Pelodiscus sinensis: one gene and its partners. The protein of the gene in region 3 interacts with the protein of the main gene of each other region in a pairwise test. Links are inferred from orthologs where the notes say so. Each region holds a gene or a part of one and is shown on either strand. Other genes may lie near its edges.

What was found.
Region 1: the proteins of TRIP10 (region 3) and WAS interact in a two-hybrid assay, tested with the Homo sapiens proteins (2 studies listed by BioGRID). The link is inferred for Pelodiscus sinensis from reciprocal best matches to the Homo sapiens genes TRIP10 and WAS.
Region 2: the proteins of TRIP10 (region 3) and SH3BP1 interact in binary tests that used the Homo sapiens proteins (3 or more experiments, as listed by UniProt). The two-hybrid records come from large-scale screens. The link is inferred for Pelodiscus sinensis from reciprocal best matches to the Homo sapiens genes TRIP10 and SH3BP1.

The regions. Positions count from the first base shown.
Region 1 is NW_027466045.1:200,658-208,266, reverse strand, and holds the start of WAS (actin nucleation-promoting factor WAS), read right to left. Parts: upstream 3,006-7,609; 5' UTR 2,534-3,005; coding exon 2,423-2,533; intron 1,881-2,422; coding exon 1,740-1,880; intron 1,551-1,739; coding exon 1,464-1,550; intron 981-1,463; coding exon 884-980; intron 740-883; coding exon 698-739; intron 585-697; coding exon 534-584; intron 418-533; coding exon 246-417; intron 1-245. UniProt on the Homo sapiens protein: Effector protein for Rho-type GTPases that regulates actin filament reorganization via its interaction with the Arp2/3 complex. Important for efficient actin polymerization. Possible regulator of lymphocyte and platelet function.
Region 2 is NC_134711.1:92,440,734-92,448,382, forward strand, and holds the start of SH3BP1 (SH3 domain-binding protein 1), read right to left. Parts: upstream 3,097-7,649; 5' UTR 2,820-3,096; coding exon 2,758-2,819; intron 2,710-2,757; exon of another isoform or gene 1,663-2,709; intron 1,087-1,662; coding exon 1,044-1,086; intron 90-1,043; coding exon 1-89. UniProt on the Homo sapiens protein: GTPase activating protein (GAP) which specifically converts GTP-bound Rho-type GTPases including RAC1 and CDC42 in their inactive GDP-bound form.
Region 3 is NC_134729.1:11,915,763-11,923,293, forward strand, and holds the start of TRIP10 (cdc42-interacting protein 4), read right to left. Parts: upstream 3,007-7,531; 5' UTR 2,847-3,006; coding exon 2,739-2,846; intron 1-2,738. UniProt on the Homo sapiens protein: Required for translocation of GLUT4 to the plasma membrane in response to insulin signaling. Required to coordinate membrane tubulation with reorganization of the actin cytoskeleton during endocytosis.

The DNA of each region.
Region 1 (7,609 bases), on a different chromosome or scaffold from region 3:
CCAGCCAGCCCTTGTCCTGGGCCGGGTGGGAGCCGGCACCCCCCGGAGGGGACAGGCCCCTGTCTCATTCCCCGCCCCCCAAGCCAGCCAGCCCTTGTCCTGGGCTGGGTGGGAGCTGGCACCCCCAGGAGGGGACAGGCCCCTGTCCCATTCCCCGCCCCACAAGCCAGCCAGCCCTTGTCCTGGGCCGGGCGGGAGCCGGCGCCCCCTCAGGCCAGCCCAGTGCCCCGTCCCCCTGCTCTCACTTGAAGCCGCTTGGGGCGCCGATGTCAGCCTTGGAGATCTTCTTCTTCCCTTTCTTCTTCTCGGCAGCGGGGGGCACCGGCAGCCCCCGGTACCGGGACGAGGTGATGTCCGGGTTCTGGATGTCCATGGTAATGAGGTTCAAGGAGGGGGAACTCGGCTGTTTGCTGGGACCTGTGGGAAAGAAAGGGGGGGCTGTGGGGAGCAGGGCCGGGGCTCTCCCCTGGAGGACAGGGAGCGGGCGGGGGGCTCGGGTAGCCCTTTGCAGACCCCCTCCTCCGAGCGCTTACCGTTCATGTCCCCCCCGGCAATCGGGGATCGGGGCAGCGTCGTCCTGCGCTCTGGAGGAGGCAGAAAGAGCCGTGTTAGACCTGCCAGCCCCTCCCCCACGGGAGAGCTTGGGGGGCTCAGCCCCGCCCCATTGCGCAGGGCGGCGGGATCACGGGGGACTCACCTTCAGGGACTGGAGGGGGGGGTGGGGGCAGCTGCCGCTTCTCTGAGGAAAGAGCAGAAAGCGCGTTAGGATACTGGCCCAGGGGGGCCAGGGAAGGGGCCCGGGGCCCTGCCCCTCCAGGGGGGCCAGGGAAGGGGCCCGGGGCCCTGCCCCTCCAGGGGGGCCAGCGCCTGCCCTGCCACTCACCCATCCTGTGCTGGCGCTTCTGGAGCTTCTCCTCCACCACCATGTGGAAGGCGCGAGCCTCGGCCTCGTCCGCAAAGTTCAGCCCAGCCTGGCATTCCTGGGAGCAATCGGCACCTCGCCAGTCCGGGGGGGCTCCACGCCCCTCCCAGAGCCAGGGGAGAACCCAGGCGTCTGGCTCCCGCCCCCCCTGCGCTAACCACTAGGCCCCACTCCCCTCCCAGAGCCAGGGGAGAACCCAGGCGTCCAGCCCCTTTCCCCCTGCTCTAACTGCTAGGCCCCACTTCCCTCCCAGAGCCAGGGGAGAACCCAGGCGTCTGGCTCCCGCCCCCCCCGCGCTAACCACTAGGCCCCACTTCCCTCCCAGAGCCAGGGGAGAACACTGGCATCCTGGCTTCCCTCCCCCCTGCTCTAACCCCTAGGCCCCACTCCCCCCCAGAGCCAGGAGAGGTCCCTAGCCCTACCTATTATTTGTTACCCTCAGTTTTCTCCTTTTATCCCGTCTCTGAAATTGTGTCCCGGGGGCGGGGCTCGGTTTGGAAGCCCCGCCCTCGCGCCCCGCCCTCCTGGGGCAGATACTCACGTCCCCGGGGAAGGTGTGGAAATAGGCAGACACAGCTGAATAGGCCTCCAGGCTGCTTAGCTCCTGCTCCCACGTCAGCCTGCCCTCCTGCAAGAGAAGGGAACCCTGGCACACGCCCTGGGGGTCTCGCCCCGCCTCCGGCAGGGGAGCGGGGCCAGTGCTTGGCGCAGGGAAGCCCAGACACCCGGGTTCTCTGCCCAGCTCTGGGAGGGGAACGGGGGCTAGTGGTTAGCGCAGAGGAACCAGGACTCCCGGGTTCTCAGGGCTGGGACTCACCTTGAGACTGAAGAGGCGGATGAAGTAGGAGCGCCGGGGGTTGTCTTTGACCAGGCAGAGGACCCCGCAGCCCTGCTTGCCCCAGGCCTGGCTGTTGGGGGGCAGGGCCAGGTACAGCTGGGCCACGGACGTGGCCAGGGTCTGGGCCAGAGACATCCGAGTTACAGAGAGATGGCGGCTGATGCAGCCAGCTCTGGGGTGGGGTGGCTGGGAACAGCTGCACCCTGCCTGACTACGGCTCCCCAGGCTGACAGTTCCTGTCCCCGTCTCCGGTGTTGGCCTCAGGCGTCCGGCGGGACCCCAATGGGCCTCTCACCAGCCCCACAAGCGCCATTTGCATGGCCGAAAGGGGGCCAGGAAGCAAGGCCCATCACTCCTCTGCCAGCCCAGCCCAGCCCCCCAGCCCTACCGGTGCCCCTCACTCCAGCCCCCCCAGCCCTGCCGGTGCCCCTTGCTCCCAATGAGCAGCCTCTGACAGCCCTGGGCTTCCCCTACCCAAGATCTGGGGTTCCCCTTACTCCAGACTTACACCGCCCAGCCCTGCCAGAGCCCCTCACTCCCACCCCCCAACCCCTGCCCCCCTAGCCCTGCCGGTGCCCCTCACTCCCGCCCCCTAGCCCTGCCGGTGCCCCTCACTCCCGCCCCCCAGCCCTGCCGGTGCCCCTCACTCCATGGGCCCTCACCGTGCATTTCCGGCCCAGGAGCTCAAACACCTGCTGGTTTTCATGGTCCAGGAGGAGACAGGAGGGGACGTTCTCTTGCGCTCGGGCCCCGGCCCGGGCCCCTCGGCTCATGCTGGCTCCTGGCACCCGCCCCAACAGCAGGCTCTTGGGGTCTCTCCCCTCCCCGCTCGCGACCCGGCCAACTTCCGCGTCACATCCAACAGGAAGCGCAACAGAAACCACCGGCCAGGGGAAGTTGGGCTCTGCGAACAGTCCCTGCCGGGGCTGGGGGAACAGGGTAGGGGGGTGGGAGCAAGGGGCCCCCGCCGAGCGGGGGGGAGATGGCGGGGGCCCCGCCGAGCAAGGAGCGCAGGCTCCTGGCAGACTCAGGCAGTGTTGTTTCTGCTGGGGGCAGGGTCCTCTGCAGCCGTTTTGGGGGCGGCTGGGGCGGGGGGGAATTTCTGAGCCCAACGCGTCTTGTAGGTGGCGGGGATCCCCCCAAGCCAGGCCAGGTGTGAGGAGGGGCTTGGTTCCAGGTGCCTCTCTATGGGGGGTAACGTAGTTAGGGCTTCCCCCCACCTTTGTATCTGCCCTACAATCCCCCCAATCCCTTTTCCATCTGCCCACCCTCCTCCCTCCATAACCCCCCACTTCCCCCCCACCTGCCCCCTCCCAGAATGTCTCTCCCCCCGCCCCCCACAAAACACTCAGGAAGGGGAAAGTCCGGTTGCTGTTTATTGAAACCCAGAACTACCGTACAGAAGCCACCGGCGCCCTGCGTCACGTTCACATTGCGTTTCTTTCCCCCCATCCCGCCCCCCACGGCGCTTTGTGCTGGGGGGGAGCAGGAGCAGGCTGAGTGTCCAATAGAAAGAGCTGGCCACTGCCAGGGGCTCTTTTATCACTCCCCTCCCGAAATCTGGAGCCTCTGGAATTGCGTGAACCCAGGCAGGATCGGCAGGCCAAGGTGCCGGGGAGACGGAGATTTTCGTCGGGGGAGAGATGGCCCCAGAGCGATCAGCCCAGCCGGGCACCCAGTCTAAGGAGTAGAGCCCTGCGAACCTGCCAGTAGCAGTGGCTGTGCCGGCAGAAATCCATGGCGCATGGAGGCAGACACGAATTTTGGAGCGAGCACACCGGTGGCTGTGGAGAGCCGCGGGACTTTTGCAGGTGCCAGTTTTGTACCCACACGGAGTTCTGCTAAGAAGGTTCTGAATTCACCAAGCCCAAGATACCAACTCGGGACCTTTCCACCTGCAGCCCCTCCTCCCCTGCAACATGCAATACGAGCCACAGGCAACGCCAGGCCCCCAAAAGGAAACCTGACCCTTGGGAAAGTGGCCCCAACATTTTAAAAAGGTGTTTTCAGGCCTCAGATCTGGGCAAAAATCCCGCTTTGTGAATGGGTTTTTTTGGTTGCTTTCTCGTCAGGGAACGGGCATTTTGCGGGGAGGGGCAGCAACGTCCAACAAACACAGAGCCAAGATGGGGGAGAAGGGGGTCGTATCTTTGATCAGATCGAGTCCCGGAGGAAGGACATGAGCCCCGGGGAAACTCGAAACGTCTCTCCCCCCCCGCCAATGGCGACCCCATAAAAGGTATCTTTGTCGCTCGGAGTTGGATTGTGCTGCTGAAATCTGGGGTGAGGGGGGTGTTCCCCCACCCAGCTCATAAAACATGATGGTTTTCTTCGTCTCTGGGCCAGACCTGGAATCGAAGGGCTGTAATATGTCGGGGAGGGAAGCCCCCACTTTTTCTGGAGAAATCAAAACATGGGCTGGGGATTTGTTTGAAAGGAGAATTTTCTGGTTTGAGGGGTTTGGATTTGGGGCGGGGGGAGGGATTAGGGGAAGGACAAAAAGCCGGGGAAAAGAAGCGTATTTCTTGCTCAAACGCTTCCTTCCAAAATGAAGGCCCCAAAGTCGGGCCGATGTCGCTCCTTTGGGGGAGGCCAAGCAAGATACGCCCACAGCACAAGGAGGAGGAGAATAGGGGAGCGATGGAACTTCGTCACTGGGGCTTCCTGGCTCCCAGCCCTAACCACTAGACCCCACTCCCCTCCCAGAGCCGGCGCGAGACCCCGGGGTCCTGATGCTATACAGAGCCCCTTCCTGCCAAAAGAAGTGCACCTCGTGCTGCGTGTACCCGGACGCAACCATGATCACGAAATAATAGAGTTCATGATCTTAAGGAAAGGTAGAAGGGAGACCAGCACAATTGAGGAAATGGATTTCAGGAAGGCAGATTTTGATAAGCTCAGAGAACTTGTAGGTAAGGTCCCATGGGAAGCAAGACTGAAGGGAAAAACAACTGAGGAGAGTTGGAAGTATTTCAAAGGGACGTTGTTAAGGGCCCAAAAGCAAACAATTCCGCTGTGTAGGAAAGATAGAAAATATGGCAAAAGACCAGCTTGGCTTAACAAGGAGATCTTGCACGATCTCAAAATAAAAAAGGAGTCCTAGAAAAAATGGAAACTAGGACAACTAACAAAGGATGAATATAGGAAAGCAACACGGGAATGCAGGGGCAAGATTAGAAAGGCAAAGGCACAAAATGAGATCAAACTAGCTACAGGCATAAAGGGAAACAAGAAGACCTTTTATAAATACATTAAAAGCAAGAGGAAGACCAGGGTAGGCCCACTGCTTAGTGAGGAGGGAGAAGCAGTAACAGGGAACTTGGAAATGGCGGAGATGCTCAATGACTTCTTTGTTTCGGTCTTCACCGAGAAGTCTGGAGGTGTGCCTAACGTAGTGAATACAAGCAGAGAGAGGGTAAGTTTAGAAGATAGGATACACAAAGAACAAGTTAAAAATCACTTAGGAAAGTTAGATGTCAGCAAGTCACCAGGTCCTGATGAAATGCATCCCAGGATACTCAAGGAGCTGATAGAGGAGGTATCTGAGCCTTTAGCTATGATCTTTGAAAAATCATGGCAGACAGGGGAGATTCCAGAAGACTGGAAAAGGGCAAATATTGTACCCATCTATAAAAAGAGGAATAAGAACAACCCAGGAAACTACAGACCGGTCAGTTTAACGTCTGTCCCAGGGAAGATAATGGAGCAGGTAATTAAGGAAATCATATGCAAACACTTGGAAGGTAATAAAGTGATAGGGAATAGCCAGCATGGGTTTGTGAAGAACAAGTCATGCCAAACTAATCTGATAGCTTTCTTTGATAAGATAACGAGCCTTGTGGATAAGGGAGAAGCGGTGGATGTCATATACCTAGACTTTAGTAAGGCATTTGATACGGTCTCGCATGATATTCTTATTGATAAACTAGGCAAATATAACTTAGATAGGGCCACGATAAGGTGGGTGCATAATTGGCTGGATAACCGTAGTCAGAGAGTTGTTGTTAACGGTTCTAAATCCTGCTGGAAAGGGATAACAAGTGGAGTTCCTCAAGGGTCTGTTTTGGGACCCGTACTGTTCAATATCTTCATCAATGATGTAGATATTGGGATAGAGAGTACGCTTATTAAGTTTGCAGATGATACCAAACTGGGTGGGGTTGCGACTTCTTTGGAGGATAGGGACATAATTCAAAATGACCTTAGCAAGTTAGAGAAATGGTCAGAGGTAAACAGAATGAGGTTTAATAAAGAGAAATGCAAAGTGCTCCACTTAGGAAGGAACAATCAGTTCCATACATACAAGATGGGAAGCGACTGTCTAGGAAGGAGCATGGCGGAAAGGGATCTAGGGGTCATAGTGGACCACAAGTTGAATATGAGTCAACAGTGTGATGCTGTTGCAAAAAAAGCAAATATGATTCTAGGTTGTATCAACAGGTGTGTTGTAAGCAAAACTCGTGAAGTCATTCTGCCGCTCTACTCTGCACTAGTTAGGCCTCAGCTGGAGTACTGTGTCCAGTTCTGGGCGCCACATTTCAAGAAAGATGTGGAGAAATTGGAAAGGGTACAGAGAAGAGCAACAAGAATGATTAAAGGCCTAGAGAACATGACCTATGAAGCCAGGCTTCATGAACTGGGCTTGTTTAGTTTGGAAAAAAGAAGATTAAGGGGGGACATGAGAGCGGTTTTCAAATATCTAAAAGGGTGTCACAAGGAGGAAGGAGAAAATTTGTTCCTCTTGGTTTCTGAGGACAGGACAAGGAGTAATGGGCTTAAAGTGCAGCAGGGGAGGTTTAGATTGGACATTAGGAAAAAATTCCTAACTGTCAGGGTGGTCAAATATTGGAATAAATTGCCAAGGGAGGTGGTGGAATCTCCCTCTCTGGAGATATTTAAGAACAGGTTAGATAGACATCTGTCAGGGATGGTGTAGACGGAGCTTGGTCCTGCCTTGAGGGCGGGGGGCTGGACTCGATGACCTCTCGAGGTCCCTTCCAGTCCTATTATTCTATGATTCTATGATCCCAGGGCAAGAGGGGTGCTGTTTCTTTGGGGGTCCCCCCGGCCACCCCATAAAGCGGCTGTGTCCCAGCCTGGATGGGATGCGGCTCCCAGCTCCGTGGGCCGCAACCAGAGAAGGACCCTGGTCCAGTTGGGAGGGGGAGCAAATCCACCATGGCCCGGACACAGACACTGGGGTTGGGGTTAAATTCGGGGTGGGGACAGGAGAGGGGTGTCGTGTAGCCAGGAGGCTCTGAGGGGCTGCCCCCCCCGGGGGGGGATTTAAGGCACTGGCTGGAGAGGCACTGAGGACTAAGGCCACTGTGGTAGGGGAACAGTGGCGATGCCTGTGGGGGTGCTGGGATTTTTCTAGAGGGGAGACAGACGCATCAGGAAAGATCTAGAGATCTTTGGAGGTGGGTATCGGCATATTTCTAGAGGGGAGAGGTGGGATCTAGAGGGTTCTGGAGGAAAACAGACACAAGGATTTTTCTAGAGGGGAGCGGAGCCATGAGGGTGAGATCTAGACACTTTTTGGAGAGGAAGCAGAGAGCCCGGGATTTCTCTAACAGGGAGCCCCATGTTCCCTCTAATCGCTTCCATCCATGTGCGGAATTATTTTGTTATGTGCACCGAGGCGCGTGTGAACGTGCACCACTAAGACACAAGAAATCAATGTGGGTGCTCGCACAAGCGCCCAGCTCACAGGGAACACTGGGGGAGACGTAGCTTCCGCCAGCTCTGGGGGGTGTCTGTACCCCGCTTCCCTCCTGCCCACCCATAACCCTCGCTCTCCAGCAGGGCTGGACCTGTCGCTGGGGGGTGAGGTAGTTTGAAAAGAGACA
Region 2 (7,649 bases), on a different chromosome or scaffold from region 3:
TCTGAACCGCACTGCCCCTGCAGGCATGCCTGGAGCCTCTTGGACACATTGTGCGCGGCCCGCTTGGCTGGCTCGATTCGCTGCTCAATCTAGAGAGAGGGAGAGAGACTGGGAAATGGGGGGAGGGGTTGGGGGAAAGCTTTCCATCCTCAGCCACTCCTCAGTGTACCAGGTTCTAGGGCTGCCGTGGGGTCTCTCTGCTGGGGTTTCCTAGCTGTGGAGACAGCTGCCCGTTGAGGAAAGACAGCTTCCTTTCCTCCAATGTGGAGGGCACAGTGGGACCCTCTCTGCCTATTGACACCCACCCACGTTCTTCTAGTGTCTTGTGGGGGCCTGATGAGGCATTGTCTCTCTGTCCCACCCCACTGCCAGAGAAGATGGACTGTCAGGCCTTGCCTATGTATGGGAGAGAGACATCTGCTTTAAAGCCTTAGCTAAGTGCTAGATGGCTTTTAGCTCAAGTAGTAGAGGCTCATGGCTTTTTCCCCTAAGGACCAAGGTTCAATCCCACCTGTCCATCAGCTGTACACCTACATTACAAGCACAGCCCGTTTGCATAGTGCCCCTGTTCTACCACTGCTTGATTTGCCTGTGGAGACCAGACAGAGCTACGTCAGTTTCCTTATGAGGTTATAACAGTTTTGTCTGGTCTCCACAGGCAAAACCAACCCACATTCCAGTGTGGCCAAGGCTGAGTGATACTAGGGTTCCCTAACATGGCTCAGGACATAGTACAGAGAAAGCCTCAGTGGCAGAGCTGGCATGGGAGACAAGGCCCACCAAGCATTGGGCTGCCTTGCTCAGGCTTGAGGCTTACTCTGTCTCCCCCTGATGCAATCAGGGAGGCTTGTCAGAGGTCTGGCCCCCACTGTTGCACGTAGGCATCGTTCCAGGATACAGAACAATCCAGGCTGAGGCTGCCCTGTGACTTAGGTAAACACAGAGAGAGAGAGAGAGAGTATTTCACACGCAGGCACACCAGATGTTTGCCCCACATGCAGGCACAGGCCCACACATGCCTGTGGACTGAACCCAGGCCTCACCTGCAGCAAGTCTTCAGTCAGGAGCTCAGCTGTTTCTTGGGCTCTGGGGAAAAGAGTGGGAGGGAGAGCGAGAGACTCATTACATTTGGTGGCCTCCAACCAGGCTCTTCGGGAGGGAGGGCACCAAACCCCATTGCTCTGGTTCCGGGTCATCATGTCTCGGGTTAAGAGGAGCTTGCAGGTGAGCCCATGGACAGAGGATGTGAAGCATGAAAATGGCTCCCAGCCTGCGAGCCAAGGGAGCGTGGGGCAGTAACAGCACTGGGAGACTTCATGCAGGTTCCTTCTCTGCTAAATAAGGGATCTAGGCCAAAATTTTCAGAAGCACCTAGTGATTTGGGGCACCTCACAAAAGACACTTGATTGACAGGGAATGGTGAGTTCCTGCCCTCTAATAACCAGGGCCCTTCAAGACACCTTGGGGTTGTGCACTGAAAATCACTAGGCACTTGGGCAGATCTTGGACCCTAAAATCTCCTGATCAGTGCAAAGGAGGTAGGGAGTAGAGAGGCCCTGCCACTGCCCTAGTTCTTACGGAGGTGAGGGGGAATTGAGGGAGGGGTCTGCTTTGGGGCAAGGCAAGAGGAAGGAGGAAAGAGCCAGCTGCAGAAATACCTACCACTCCCAGTGAAAGACCCACTTCCCTGGCCTCAGGCAAACAGTGAGGTGGGTTGAAGCCATTCTCAACTGCCTGACATTAAAACAACAAAATATGTGTGTGGGTTGGAGCAGAGACCGGCGAGCCCAGCCCTGCCAGGGCTCCCAAGGTTTTGCAAGGGGAACAATTAGACGAGAGAAAAACAATAAAGCAGAGGTGGCCCTGAGCTGGGGAGCGGCCGGAATGGAAATGTAGTTAGAGAGCCAGAGAGGAAAGGAGAGCAGCGCATAGGCCCAGAGCCCCCTCCTCTCTCACTAGCCTACCGCCACCCCTCACCTCCTCAGGCAGGCTTTTCTGAGACCCTGACGGACACAAGAGGAAGCTCCCCTGCCACCGTGTGTAGGATTCAGCTCCAGATGGGCCCAGGAGGGAGGGAAACCCTGGCAGGGAATGTGCCTTTAGTCTTGTTTCTCCTCCTGCATTGATCTTCCTCTCTTCCCCCAATGGGGCCGGAGGATTCCCTCTGCTGCTGACGTCCCCACTTCCCTGGCCCCAGATTGTGACTGCCCTGCTTCCCCACAGAGGGGCACAATGTGACAGGCCCTCCCTGCCTCACCTGTCCGGATTAGGGTCAACACCTGTCCTAATTGACATGGGTCTGAGTCACACCGTCGCAGCTGAGCGTCCAGGGCCAGTCAGGACAGAGGGGCCCCACTGCTCAGTCCAGCAGGACAAGTGGAGCCAGCCCCTGCTTGTTAACCTGGCTTTTTAAAGGACCAGCGGGAGTCACTACGGAGCAGCATTGCTGTGTCCCACCAACTCCCCCAGCCAAGAGGGCTAGGGGAAGTCTGAGTTAACCAAGTCCTCCTAGGGTTTAGCTAAAGCTTCCCCAAACAGGCTGCTCTCAGCTCCCCCAGCCCCTCCCATGATCACTCCACCCAGGGCCTGGGTGGTCCTCACAGCTCCTGCCCTGGCTCCTGGCAGCGCTGGGTCTCTGGCCCATGTGCCGCTGAAAGGCTGGAGGGGAGGGGTTGTGAAATGCTCTCCAGTGCAGCTTCCTGCCCTCCCGTCAGCCCCACCAGCTGGAGGATGAAAGGCTTAAGGCTGGGTCCTTACCGTCCTGTGTTGCTGGGATAGGAGAGCTGCTGCCGCATCCGATTAAACTGCCTCTTCATCATCTTGGGAGCGGAGAGGAGAGCACAGCACCGGCCACCCCCCCCACTCAGCGCCAGCCAGCTGCACTTGTCATGGGAGGAGACAGCCCGCTTCTCTCTACTTCCCTCTCTCCTCTCCCCCTCTTTCTCTTCACTCTGACTTGGCTTCGGACTCCCGCCCTTTTCTCTCCTCCCTGCCCCGCTTCCCTCACTCTTGGGTTTCCTGCCTCCCTTTTCTCCTTCTCTCACTTCTCTTTCCTTCTCCTTCTCTCCTCTGTTTCCTCTTTGGTCTGAGTCCCACCCTCACCCCCACCCCGTCATCGCCAAGCAGGTAAGAGCAGTCAGGGCTCCTGGTGCTGCTCTCTGTTCCTGTCACCACCCCGCAAGTATAAATAACTTCAGCCAAGCCTTAAAGGGGAAATATTATTACAGCAAACATGTAACAAGGCAGAACAAGCACCCGCCACAGCCTAACCAGAGCATGGGGCCCACACACTCTCCCTCTCGTTTCCCACCCGCTGTTTCCACCGGTGCCTACTCTGCCTTCCATACGCCTTGGCAGACTCATGCGGGGACCCTGCAAATCCATTCCACTAGCGAGAGGCAGAGATGGAGAAGGCAGGTGCCATGCTGGCTTCTCACAGCTCTGCCAATGCACCTCAGTCATGAGCCTCAGCCCCCCTGCTGTACCTGACCTGGAATACCCGGCCCACTCTGCCCGTGCCTTTCCTGCCTGGCTTTGGGGCAGATGAGCTGATTCACATCACCACAAAGTACAGCTCCAGTCCACTCAAACCCACTGGTGAATTTGACACAGATGCACTAACCAGGGTCTGCCCTTGTTTTTTTGACACTGAAGTGCTCATCGTAAAATGGGGAACCCCGGCCTCTGTTAGCCCCCCTGTCGCCAAGGTGCTCCCTTGTGGGAGGTTCAGACCCCCCTCGGCCTGGTGTGAAGAAAAGATTCAAACTTAGTGCTCTCACCCTACAAGGAACAGCCCAGCTCCAGAGCAAGAGGCAATACGGGGTAGTCTCAGCTCCTACTGAAGCTGTTCCACGTTGTGTAAATAATTAGCCAATGGAGCAGGGACTTGGCTTCTCCTATTGCCTAGGCATGTGCCCTAACCTCTGCACTGGAGTCAGTCACATGGTTCCCTCCACCCCCACTCAATGACTAGCCCTTGTTATTAATTGAGGCAATTCATGGCCATCCATAAGGACAATGACTACCCCTCAGCAAAACCAAGGGAGGATGACTCTCTAATCTGGTGGGTAGGATCTTCTCCCAAGCTAATGAGAGACCCACATTCAAATCTCTTCTCCACATCAGGAAGGGGAGTGGGGAGATAAACCTGGGAAGCGAGGGAGCCAGATAAATGCCCTAACTGCTAACAGTTACAAGTTTCAGCCTTTTTTTTTATAGGGAGGGCACTTTCTTCTCCTGTTCTGTGAAGCTGGCTAACAGCCTGCACCAAAACGGTTTGGGTCCAGCAGCGTGCTCTCTTCGGCCTGACTGGATTTACTTCCATTTGCTGATTTTTTTTCTGTTATTGCAATTTTCAAATTTGGTTCAAACCAAACCATCGGTTCCCCTGAAACTACCAGTAAACCAGCACACCACTTCTGCACCCGGCTCTGCTCCCGATCTGCTGCGCTTCCTGCTAGTCCAGTCCAGCCCCACACTGCGCCCACAGGCCTTTGTGCATCACCCTCCTACCCTGAACTTGCTGCTATTTCTGTGCAGCCCTTGCAGCACTGCCAACACACCTCAGTCTTGGCCAGCAACAGTCCCTTCTATTGCCGCCACAACTGCTCCCCAGTGCTGCCCATCTACCTCACTCCTCATAAGGCAGGACAGTCACTTTCTGTTTGTACAGCGCCTTGCACAACAGGGCACCAGACATGCTGGCCTCTAGGGGCTCTTACAATAATAAATGGCAGTCTCGGATGATCTCCCCCAATAGCTGTCAGTGTATCTCATCTGCAGCTCCTGCCGCTATTCCGGTCCTGCGACCCCCCATCCCAGCGCTGCACCCCAGCCATTGCAGCAAGGGGACTCCCTCCTCCCCCACAGTGCTGCGGGCTTATGCTGGGTCCCTAGGTGTTGCATGTGCACCCTGGAGAGAGGCTGTGGCAGTGGGTTCACCACCCTTGTTGCTGTAAGGTGCACTGCAGCACCTCCCACTCGCACGTCTTCTGCAAACCAATGGCATGGGAACATAGTGTCACAAATGCGCTGCTCCAAGAACAGAGGGCAGCTCAGAGCTTAGCTGTGAGATTTGCAACCCCCTTGGTGCCTTCCTCTGCAGAGCCAAGCCGCAGCCTGCAGCAGCAGTAGCAGCAGAGCTCTGGGACATGTGGCAACAGGGCCCAGGTCTTACCCTCCTGTTGATTTTACTGGCATGCTCGAAGGAGATAATCTGTTAGACCAGGATTTTCTTTCCCTTTTGTGAGATGATCCCCAACCCCCCACAGCCAGCAGCAGCCTGTCCAGAGAGTGGTGGAGGGCCAGGGAGTGCTGCAGCTAGCCTGCACAGCCAGTGCGAGAGCTCAGAAGCTGGGACAGGAAGTGGTCAGAGTGCATGTGCACGTATAAAGAAACACACTGCAGAATTGTCAAGGAGGGAGAGAGGCAGGAAAAAGTGACCCAGCTGACCATCCCCATGCATGGGCTAGGACTAAAATAAGTAGTGCTCCTGAGGCCTTATATGGTACTCCGCACCAGCGTTCCCACCAAACTTCTCCACCCACGTGCAAAATAAATGTGTGTGTGCACCAAGGCGTGTGTGAATGTGCCTCTCCCGTAGAAACAAAAAACCTAGCTGTGGGTGCTCTGTTAAGCAATGGGGCAGGATTGAATTAGGGATATGATCATGTACACATTTAACTGATGAACTTGGGCTGATCAATTAACCTTCACAGTTCTACACAAAGGCCCCCCTCCATGCTGCGGCCTTTGTATGAGAGGCAGCAACGCACGGGGGCAGGCAGGAGCTGTACATGTGGGGAGCCAGCTCCATACATGTACCAGCTCCCGTGGAGCTGCAATGCCCCCCACCCTACGCTGTTACCTCTGTATCAGAGGAAGCGGGGGAAGGAGAGCGCAGAGATCTGTTTGAGCCACCTCCCCCGCCATGAAAACATATAACCGCTCAAAATTTCAGTTACACAGTTACAAAAAAATGATGCATTTTAACATTCTTCATTGGAATCTCTCCTGAGCAGCCGCACACATGCGCAGCTTACAGGGAACACTGCTCTGCACCCAGAGATCTCCTCCCGGCATCATGCCCATTTGTCAGCTGGGAAAACCGAGGGGTGGTCACTCTGTAGCTCAGGGCAGAGCTAGGAGCACAACCCAGGGCTCAGCCTTTGCAAGCCAGTGCCCTAGATCCTGGGCCATATTTGACCCAGGGGGATTAGAACATAGGCAAAGCAGAGAGAGGCTTACAGGCAACAGTGGCCAAAGACACGGAGACCACCCCAGAGAGAGTCTCTGTGCGGTACATCATGATGGCCCTGCTCCTTTGACTTTTTATCCAGACTCCACAGGGATCAAAGGCCAAGAAGCTGCTTGCTGAGCTGCTACTTTCAGAGGCCTCCCAGGCATCCTAGGTGTAGGGGAAGTGGTTGTGTAGTCAGGAAACTCCCCAGTAGCAGTCACACCCGTCTGCTATGGGATCCACTGAGCAAGGCCTCCCCTTGGCTGGGAATGAGGCTCCAAACAATCTGTGCGTCATGCACTGCAGTAGCTGCCCAAGCTGACATTTAATGGGGGTACTGGCAGTAGACACACAGCCCTTGGGCTAGCCCCACTGAGACACAAGGCAACAGAGGTGCAAAAAGCCCACTCCCAAGTTATAGCCGTTACTGCTACTTTCCAAAACCAAGCATCTTCCCCAGCCTGCCAGGAGGCCACCGGCGCTTAACAGCAGTTACGAGACCCACTGTGGCAGCCGCTACAGAGGCTCCCACAGAAAAACCTAGGGGAAGAGGAAGTGGGGGCAGCTACTAGCAATCAGCTGAGCAACCTCGCTGCAAACAGCACTTGAGCCAGGCCCAAAATGGTTCAGTGAGGGGGCTTGAGGGTCAGGTTAACCCTGGCACAGGAGTTCCTAGCAATCCCTTCCACAGGGCCAATGTTTAGCCCCCTCATCCTCCAACATAGGGAGCAGCAGGGGCTGGCAGCCAGCTCTTCCTGTGCTCAACTCTGCACAGAAAACAGGAAGGCACGTTCCAGCCCCAAAAGGCAGCAACTGCTCTCTGTCCCACGAGCCAGGACCACGAAATCCAGGGCAGCCCAGCTAGCCGACCAGAAGATTCACTGCTCTCCTTTGCCCTGGTACTTGGCTCCCACTGGGCAGTTCAGTGAGTGAGGTCCAGGGAGGCTCCCGAGTTCCATGGCTAGGCTACCACTGAGCTAGGGTGAGTGTCAAGGGCAGGTTTGGGTCTGAACACACATTTGGCGTCGCAGAGCAAGCCCTGCCTCTCGTTACTGGGATCCATGCTGCAATGTTCTGAAACGGGCAGAGGGAACAGGGACGCTTCCAGCACACTAGCAGTGTTCTCCCCAGGCTTGGCTGCACGGAGACGCATCCTCACATTGGGGATGGAAAAGTGCCCCAGTAGGGGGCACTCGCCTCAGCTGAGAGGGAGAAGGGACACTGCGTGCAGGGGGCAGAGATTCTATGGATGACAGATGCTGGGCTTGCTGGTGACAAAAGGGGCCCTCAGCCCAAGTGTAGCTCAGGAAAACCCTGACAGACATCAGGAAAGAACACTCTTTATTTCCCATAAATACAGCAGATTTCGCGCACCGGGCGGCTTTTGAAATCCTTTTCCATGTACAGAATT
Region 3 (7,531 bases):
GATTCATGGATCATCTATTAGCCAGGATGGGTAGGGATGGTGTCCCTAACCTTTGTTTCTCTGGAAATGAGTGACAGGGGAGGGATCACGTGAGGATTACCAGTTGTGTTCCCTCTCTGGGGTACCTGGCATTGGCCACTGTTGGCACACAGGATATTGGGCTAGATGGACCTTTGGTTTTACCCAGTCTGGCCATTCTTATATCCTTATGTAGTCGATAAGGGGGTTCGCTGTGGCTCTGCTTTTTAAATATGGTAAGAGCCGCCTGGCTCATGCCATTTCCCCCATTCTAAGCCTGCTCCTCCCCCCCTTGCTGCCTCTGATACCGAGGCAGCAAGGGGGGAGCGACTAGTTGAGTAATGACTCGACTACCCAATAAGCCTAGGTTATCAGACAGCCAACTAGTCACTTACATCCCTGGTCTATACAGAGGTTCCCTGAGAAGTTTGCACTGAAGCAGCTGAGCACGTGCAGTCACAGCTGCACCATACATCGTACCCCCGCTGGATTAAAACTCGCTCCAGCTAGACACCCTGCAACCAGACCTGACAGAAGCACAGCCTTACCCCTGAGCGAGGGGACAACTCGCCCCCATGGAAAGCTTGCACCTAAACCCAACAGTTATCTCCAGAACAAGCTTTCTAAAACTCTCCTCTCCTATGCATCTGGCTTCTGTGAAAGCTTGTGGCCATGAGTTCCACAGGCTACTTGAGTGGGAAAGAGAGTTGGTTCCTTTCCTGGGAAAATAAGGGACCACTTGGAACCCTGGGAGCCTAGGGAACTCTGGAGTGGAGAAAGAGACAAGACAAAGTGGGGGGTTTCTATATAAACGTTAGCACCCCTCTGACTGTGACAAGCTGGATCATGTAAAGAAGTTAAGTGGCTTGCGAGATGCTAATTTTAGTGTTGATTTTACAACTGCTGGGGGGGGGGGGAAGAAGAGGAATTATGACTTGTGTCCCCACACAAAGCATCATCAGATTGACACCCCTCACTGCAGTGGATTTTGGGGCTACGGCTCTGTGTGTCAATGTCAGGGGGCCGCTACCTCCCCCAATCCCGCTAACACAGTCTCCCAGGGAAGCGCTAACCAGGGGTGAGCAGCCAAAAGCCGTCCTGCAGGGGATTTTAAAACAAGCAGGGAAATCCCCCAGCTCATCTGCAGAGAAAGGAACAAGGAGTCAGGGTTTAAATCATCCAGAGGTGGGATTTTGGCTGGGGATTTTCATGACCGTTTTCTCTCCCCCGTGCAGCCAAGAACAGTGTCAGAGGGGAGGGGGCGTCATTTGAGAATGATGCAGCACTGCTAAGCCTGGTGCTATTTTTAATGCTGCTTCAGACAGGACACCCCATCTCTCCTCCTCCCATCCCAAAGCCCTTTTAATGGCTGTTACCCAGGGGCGGGAGGCCATGCAGCACCTTAAGGCTGCCACTTAAAAAATCAGCACACCAAGGTTAAACAACAGTTAAAGCCCAATAATGAGATTAGGGGCGCTGAACACACATCCTATTACTGCACCAGGAGGGCTCTTTAAAGGGACCTGGCTGCCACATTTTTTCTGCAGCTCCAAGCCGGGCGATTACATGGGCAGCCTCGTTTTTACTGTCTCCCCGGAAGCAGCAGGTGCTGAAGCTTTGAGGAGTTCCCGCCCCAAAAGCCCTTTTCCGCCTAGGGAGACCGACATGCACGTGGCATCTGCGCACACAGGCAAAGCAGATTTTTGACCGAAGTGAAGTGCTGCAAAGCTCAGTTTAGGACAGCTTACGTGGTCTACCAGCAGTGGGGCCTAGTGGTTATGGCACTGGATTAGGAGTCAGGAGACAGATTCTGTTCTCAACTCGACTACTGACATGCTGCTTGCCAATTCACTTCCCTTCTTGGTGCCTCAGTTTCCTCTCCTGCCCTCTGTCCGATTGTGAGCTCCTAGGTGACTGTTTCTGCAGCATCAAATATGAAAGGACCCTGAATTTGATTGGGGGCGGGGGGGCTCATCATATTTCTTACAATAGTGTCTAAGGAACAACAGAGGCCAGGGCCCCATTGTGTCTGTGCAGCGCCCGGCACAGCGAGAGACAGACCCTGCCCCAAAGCACTGAGAATCCGGATACCAACCCCTTGCTTGGTGCAGCTTTACGAGGGCCTGGACACCAAGGGCCGTAGAAGTGGGGCAAATCCCCACTGCCGACAAGGCCTCCACGGCTCTGCTCCAAGACGGGGAAGTTTCCCCCAGGTGGGAACGGCCCTTACAAGGAGGGGACTGGTTCATTAGAGCAGAAGCCACTGAGGGGTTCCCCAAGACGCCCCATTCATCTGGCTGGAGGGCAGCTCAGGTCTGGAAAGCCACCGCTCCTTCGGGTCCTTATAGATCAGCTCCCCGCCGTGCCAGAGTTTTGGCGGCTCACGCTGGGGACAATTCGCTTCCCGCTGTTGCGTTACAGCCATTGACACCGCTCTATGGAGCCACAAACCTCTGCCTCTGCCTAGCACCGGGTGGCCAAGGAGCGCAGGCCTTGGGGCACCATGGCAGGGTGGAGGGGAGGATGGAGAAACGTCCCACGCTTGGAGGGTGTGCACCTTGGACTGGAGGGGGAGAGGGTCCGTCTGCCCTTGGGGAAGGACAGATGGAGCTGGGAAGAGAGGTTTAGTTCCAAGGCAACATGGGTCAGGTAGATAAGATGAGAGAGTCAGGACTCCTGGGTTCTATTCCCAGGAAGGATGTGGAAAGGGGGAGGCTTACCTGTTCCAGTAACCAGTGGGGTCTGGAGCAGCCTCCAGCTTGCTGCGGACAGGGGCCGGGAGCCGGCAGCAAGCCCCAGCACAGGCGCTGGGGGTAGGAGCCCCACATGCTGGGTGCAGTCCCCTGCCCGGATCTTGCTTAGTCAGTGAACCAGTTAAACCTTAGGTTTACTGATTGACCAGGATTTTACATTCCTAATACCCAGGCTTGCCTCTGACCTTGGCATCTTCTGACCAGGCCTCAGTCTCCCTTCCCTTTTGACTTAGCATGGAAGCTGTTTGGAGCTCTCTTAGGCAGTAGCTACACTAGGAAATTGGCACGCCTCACAAGCAGAGCCCTGCTCCTGTGGATGCAGCAATATCAGCCTTGGATCCACCCCGCGTGAAACAAGCTGTGCCAGTTTTCCCAAAATAGCTGCACCCACACTTGGGGCTTCTGCCAGCCTAGCTGTTGGCCACGGATCACAGCCTGGGCGGACACAGCTCTGCCGGCAGAAGCCTGCTAGGGGTTCTCATCTCCAAATGCTACTATGATACAAATCAATGAGGAAAAAAAAGACCAGGCTCTCGGGTATATGCAATAAACCCGGTGGCCTGTTTTCAGCTCGACTCTGGTTAGTTTCACCAGTTTTCCCCTGCAGGTGTCTTACACAGCAATGGGAAGAGAGATTCTTTACACACACACACACACGCCCCCCCCAACTGATTGCACAACCACAGTAAACAGGAGGGAGGAGCGAGCGAGCACCTGGACGAGGAGATGGTTGGGTTAACATTTGCAATGGCCTCTTTGAGGAAAAGAAGATCGGAATCACCAGGCTGGATAAAAGCAACAATCGGTCGAACCCTAAACCCCGGTCTCTGCAGCAGCACTCGATGCGTTAGAGGGAGACACAAGAAACCCCTCAGGTATGGGGAGCCTAGCGACTGGCCAAGAAGAGCCTGGCCCCAAGATTAAGGGGGTGTCTTCAATGCAGAGCGATCAGCATCAGGAGCGGAGCAGCCAGGGCAGGCGCGAACAGCCCGACAGCAATGAGTCACCATTACTGCTTTCACCTGGGGGCGCGCCCCATTGTCTCTGCAGCATGCTCCAGGATTTCCCCCCCCCAGCAAAAAGAAGGGAAAATCCATCTGTCCTCCAGGGCACAGAGGGGAATTGTGGGGCAGCACCTTCAGACCTGCAGCACTGGTGTGATTTTTAGCCTGTGTCACACTGCACTGCTGCAATCTAGCCCAAGTGAAAGAGGTGCCATCAGGCAAGCCAGCAAGCCTGGGGTGACAGCACCCTCACACTCGGGCGAGAGGACTGTGTGCGGATGAGAAGGGGAGAGGGAGTGACGCCCAAGGCAGACTCCACGTTACCCTGCTCTCTGAAGAGTTTATAGCCATCCTAAGGCAGAAGGATTCATGGCCCTGCCTACATTTTGGGGGGTTGCTTTTTGTTTTATTATAAGCCAGGATGCTTTCATCCATACCTTTTAAAAATCCTGCTGAGGTTGTAGCTAATTATCTTATAGCAAGGAGTTCCACAGGTCAGCTGTGTGTAATGGGGGGTGGCACCCTTCCAATGATTGGCTTGCCATCTGACCCCTTTCAAGACCTCCCTTACAAAGGGAAACATCTAAGCTGTGGAGATCCAACATTGCTAACTACGTTTAAAGATTTCACGGCAATTTAGCAGAAATTAAATGGTTTTGTGACCATTGTTCCCTGACAGCTTGTGTAACTGCTCAGGAGAGAATCAAAGGCTGCCCAGCAGCATGTCAGCAGCAAAGTTTTTGTTTCTACTGATGGTGCCCCAGAGCACATGAAAAAAATTATTCCACACCTGAATGGGAAAAAAAATCCGCACATGGATGGAACAGATTAGAGGGAACTTTTGTGACCGTGTGTGAGTGTGTGTGGAAAAGAGTTCTTTCCATGCATTGTCTGCAACCAATGCATATAAGTGCCCAGCAGGCACTGCTCACCAGGAAGTGAAACAGACTAGTAACAGCAGTGAAATTGACTAACCCAGCTTCAATCTGCAGGCTGAGTGAATGCAAACCAGAGCTGTAAGAAACTGGATTTTAAGTCAGAGATTCGGGTTTAGTCACTTATGACGTCTCGAAGCTCACGTTGTTGTACAGGTGCTGGAAAGATTAAATGACTCGCCCAAGATCATGCTGCAAGACTACAACACAGCTGGAGGACAGAACTCTTGAGTCGGACTCGTTGAATAAAACCACACTCGCCCATGGGCCCAATTCTCGGTCTTTCCCCTCCTCCGACCGCTACTGATTTCTGCTTCCCTTCAGAGTTATCCGTTTCACTTTGAGAACCCTCATCCAAGCACCACTGACTAATATTAAAAGACAGCCAAAAAGGTTCCTTTACCACTCCCTGTAAATGACTTTCAAGATTTCTGACCAGAGATAAGACAGCCCAGACTTCAGGACGGGACTGATCTTGTGTACAGAAGATTTAAGAACTGAAAGCAAGAAGCCAAAAGGGGGAGGGGGGGGGGGGGAGAGAAACATTGCGACATGTCAAACTTCAAACGTTTCTGAGCAGACAAACTCAGAGCCAGGGGATCAGAGAGACGTTTGAGCAGGCAGGCACAACTGGGGTCCACCAAGATTTGGAGAAGCCAATGCAAAAGCAGCATCGCACAACACTAAAAATAAAATCTAAAAGTTGCTTGAAACCTGATCCTGCCTGGCTGGAACCTGGAAGCTGAGACCTGCAGGAGTTGCTCTAATTGCTCATTCAGACTGCAGCCACCTGAAGTGACCCCAGCTTCCTCCTCTCCCATCATCATTTGGGGAAACGCCTCATGGCAGGGCCAGAGCCTGGTTTACACTGGGTCTCTTATGGCCCTCAGGCAGCCCAAAGCAGCCCTGAAAGAAGCAGGTGGGAGAATCACAATGATGGTTCCCTTTGCAGTCTCCGCGTGCCGGTTCTGCCGCAATTCGACTTTTGAAATGTATATTTCAAAGGCTCAGGAGTGGCAGAGAGCGCGGGGCTTTCGAACTGTAGCAAGAGGCTCTTCCTACAGTTCAAAGGCAGAGGCGCTCTTATCTACCAATCGAATAGTCGATAGACTTCGACTAGTTGATTAATTTAAATTTAACATCCCTACTTTGGCCACCTCAGGGAGTAGCCCTGATGCCAGCTGTGCCGGCGTAGCCAGAGCAAAATTGCTATTAGCCCGGAGGGGGAGGGAGGGGAGGGCGCGACCCAGCACTGGTACGAGCCTCTGGCAAGTGGCCTGGCTGGACGGGTTTGCAGCCCAGCGTGGGAGAGCGTTGGTGCCATGACCTGGCTCCGGACTGGCACACCACCCTGCCGGGCGACCCCAGCTTCCAGCACAAACCTGGAGGGCCGTCCGGGGAGGTGGGGGGTAGCCTAGGGCATTCCCACTGCTCCACCCCACCCTGCCACCACATCGTCCTGCCGCCCCACTGCGCCTCGCTTCTCAGCAGCGGCGAGGAGTCAAGTACGCTGAGGTTGGGGCCTTCTGCTTCCTGCTGCCTCAGAAAAGCCAAGCGCAGCGGGCGAGGGGAGGGTGGCGGGGTGGGGCAGAGGAGGCTGCTGGGCTGCTCTGGCGAGGGGGCAGTGACTCCTGCTGCCACCCTGTGCCAGGCCCATCCATAGGACTGCCACAGGGTCCCCCAAAGCACAGACCGGCGGGAAGGGAGCTGCCCCAAACTATCCTGTGCCAACACGCTATTGGGTAGGACTCAGCTGCACAGGGGAGTTACCCCAGAATGAGGTTGGCTGTGGATGTTCTGAGTTCCTGCTCTTCCGAAAGAATTGCGTCCACATGGGACGGTTATCCAGATTAGCTAAGCCGGTCAATTTCCTCAGGCAGACTACCTCTTAGTAGTACATAACAGTAGCACCTGGCTTCGATCAAGGCCCCGCTGTGAGCACACCTAGCGGGAAAGTGCCTGCTCTAAAGAGCTGCTCAAAAGGGCCCAAAGGAAGAGCCCTTATCTTACAGCTGGGAAACTGAGGCATGGAGCCATGACGTGACTTGCCCACGGTCACGCAGTAGGCAGCAGAGCCAATAACTGACGCCTGGTCTCTCTCACCCCAGTGACTTACCCACTAGGCTACCCTTCTTCTTAGTCCATCCTCCTTCCCCGCCCACCTCCCCCAGGCTTTGCAGCCCCCACCAATGAGGGGGCCATGGCAGCCAGAGTCCTGGCCCCTTTAAATCGCCGCCAGAGCACCACGTGGCATGCTCTGGGCAGCTCTGAGGCCTGGCAGGAGGCTGGGGAACAAGGTGCACTCCAAGTAGTGCTAAGAGCCAACTACCCCAAACCCCACCCCTTCCATCCAAGCCCCGCCCCTTCCGCCCAAGCCCCGCCCCTTCTAGGAACATGCCGTCACACACGCACACCTACCGTGCCCAGGGGCTCGGCCATTGTCAGCCCTCCCACAAGGCTGCCACTAGCCTCGCTCAGGAAACTGGTGACTAGGTTGTATTTTGACACAAATGCCTGCTGGGAAGGCTCCTTCCTGGTGTCAAACGCAACCAACCTGCCACACAACCGCCGAGGCAGCTGCACAACCAACAAAGGAGGTGATCACGCCGCAGCCCAGGGCCTGCCAGAGCCCCCCCGAACAGACACGGCAGCAGGACTAGCTCCAAAGATACAGCCCAGCCCAGTCCCCGGGCTGGGCTCTGTAGGGATGGGGTCCGACCCGAGGCCCATTGAATCCGCAGCCTCTCTCCTGAGAGGGGCAACATGAGATGGTGCCAAACAAGACCATGATGGGGGGGGCGGGGTTTCCTGCTCCAGGCAC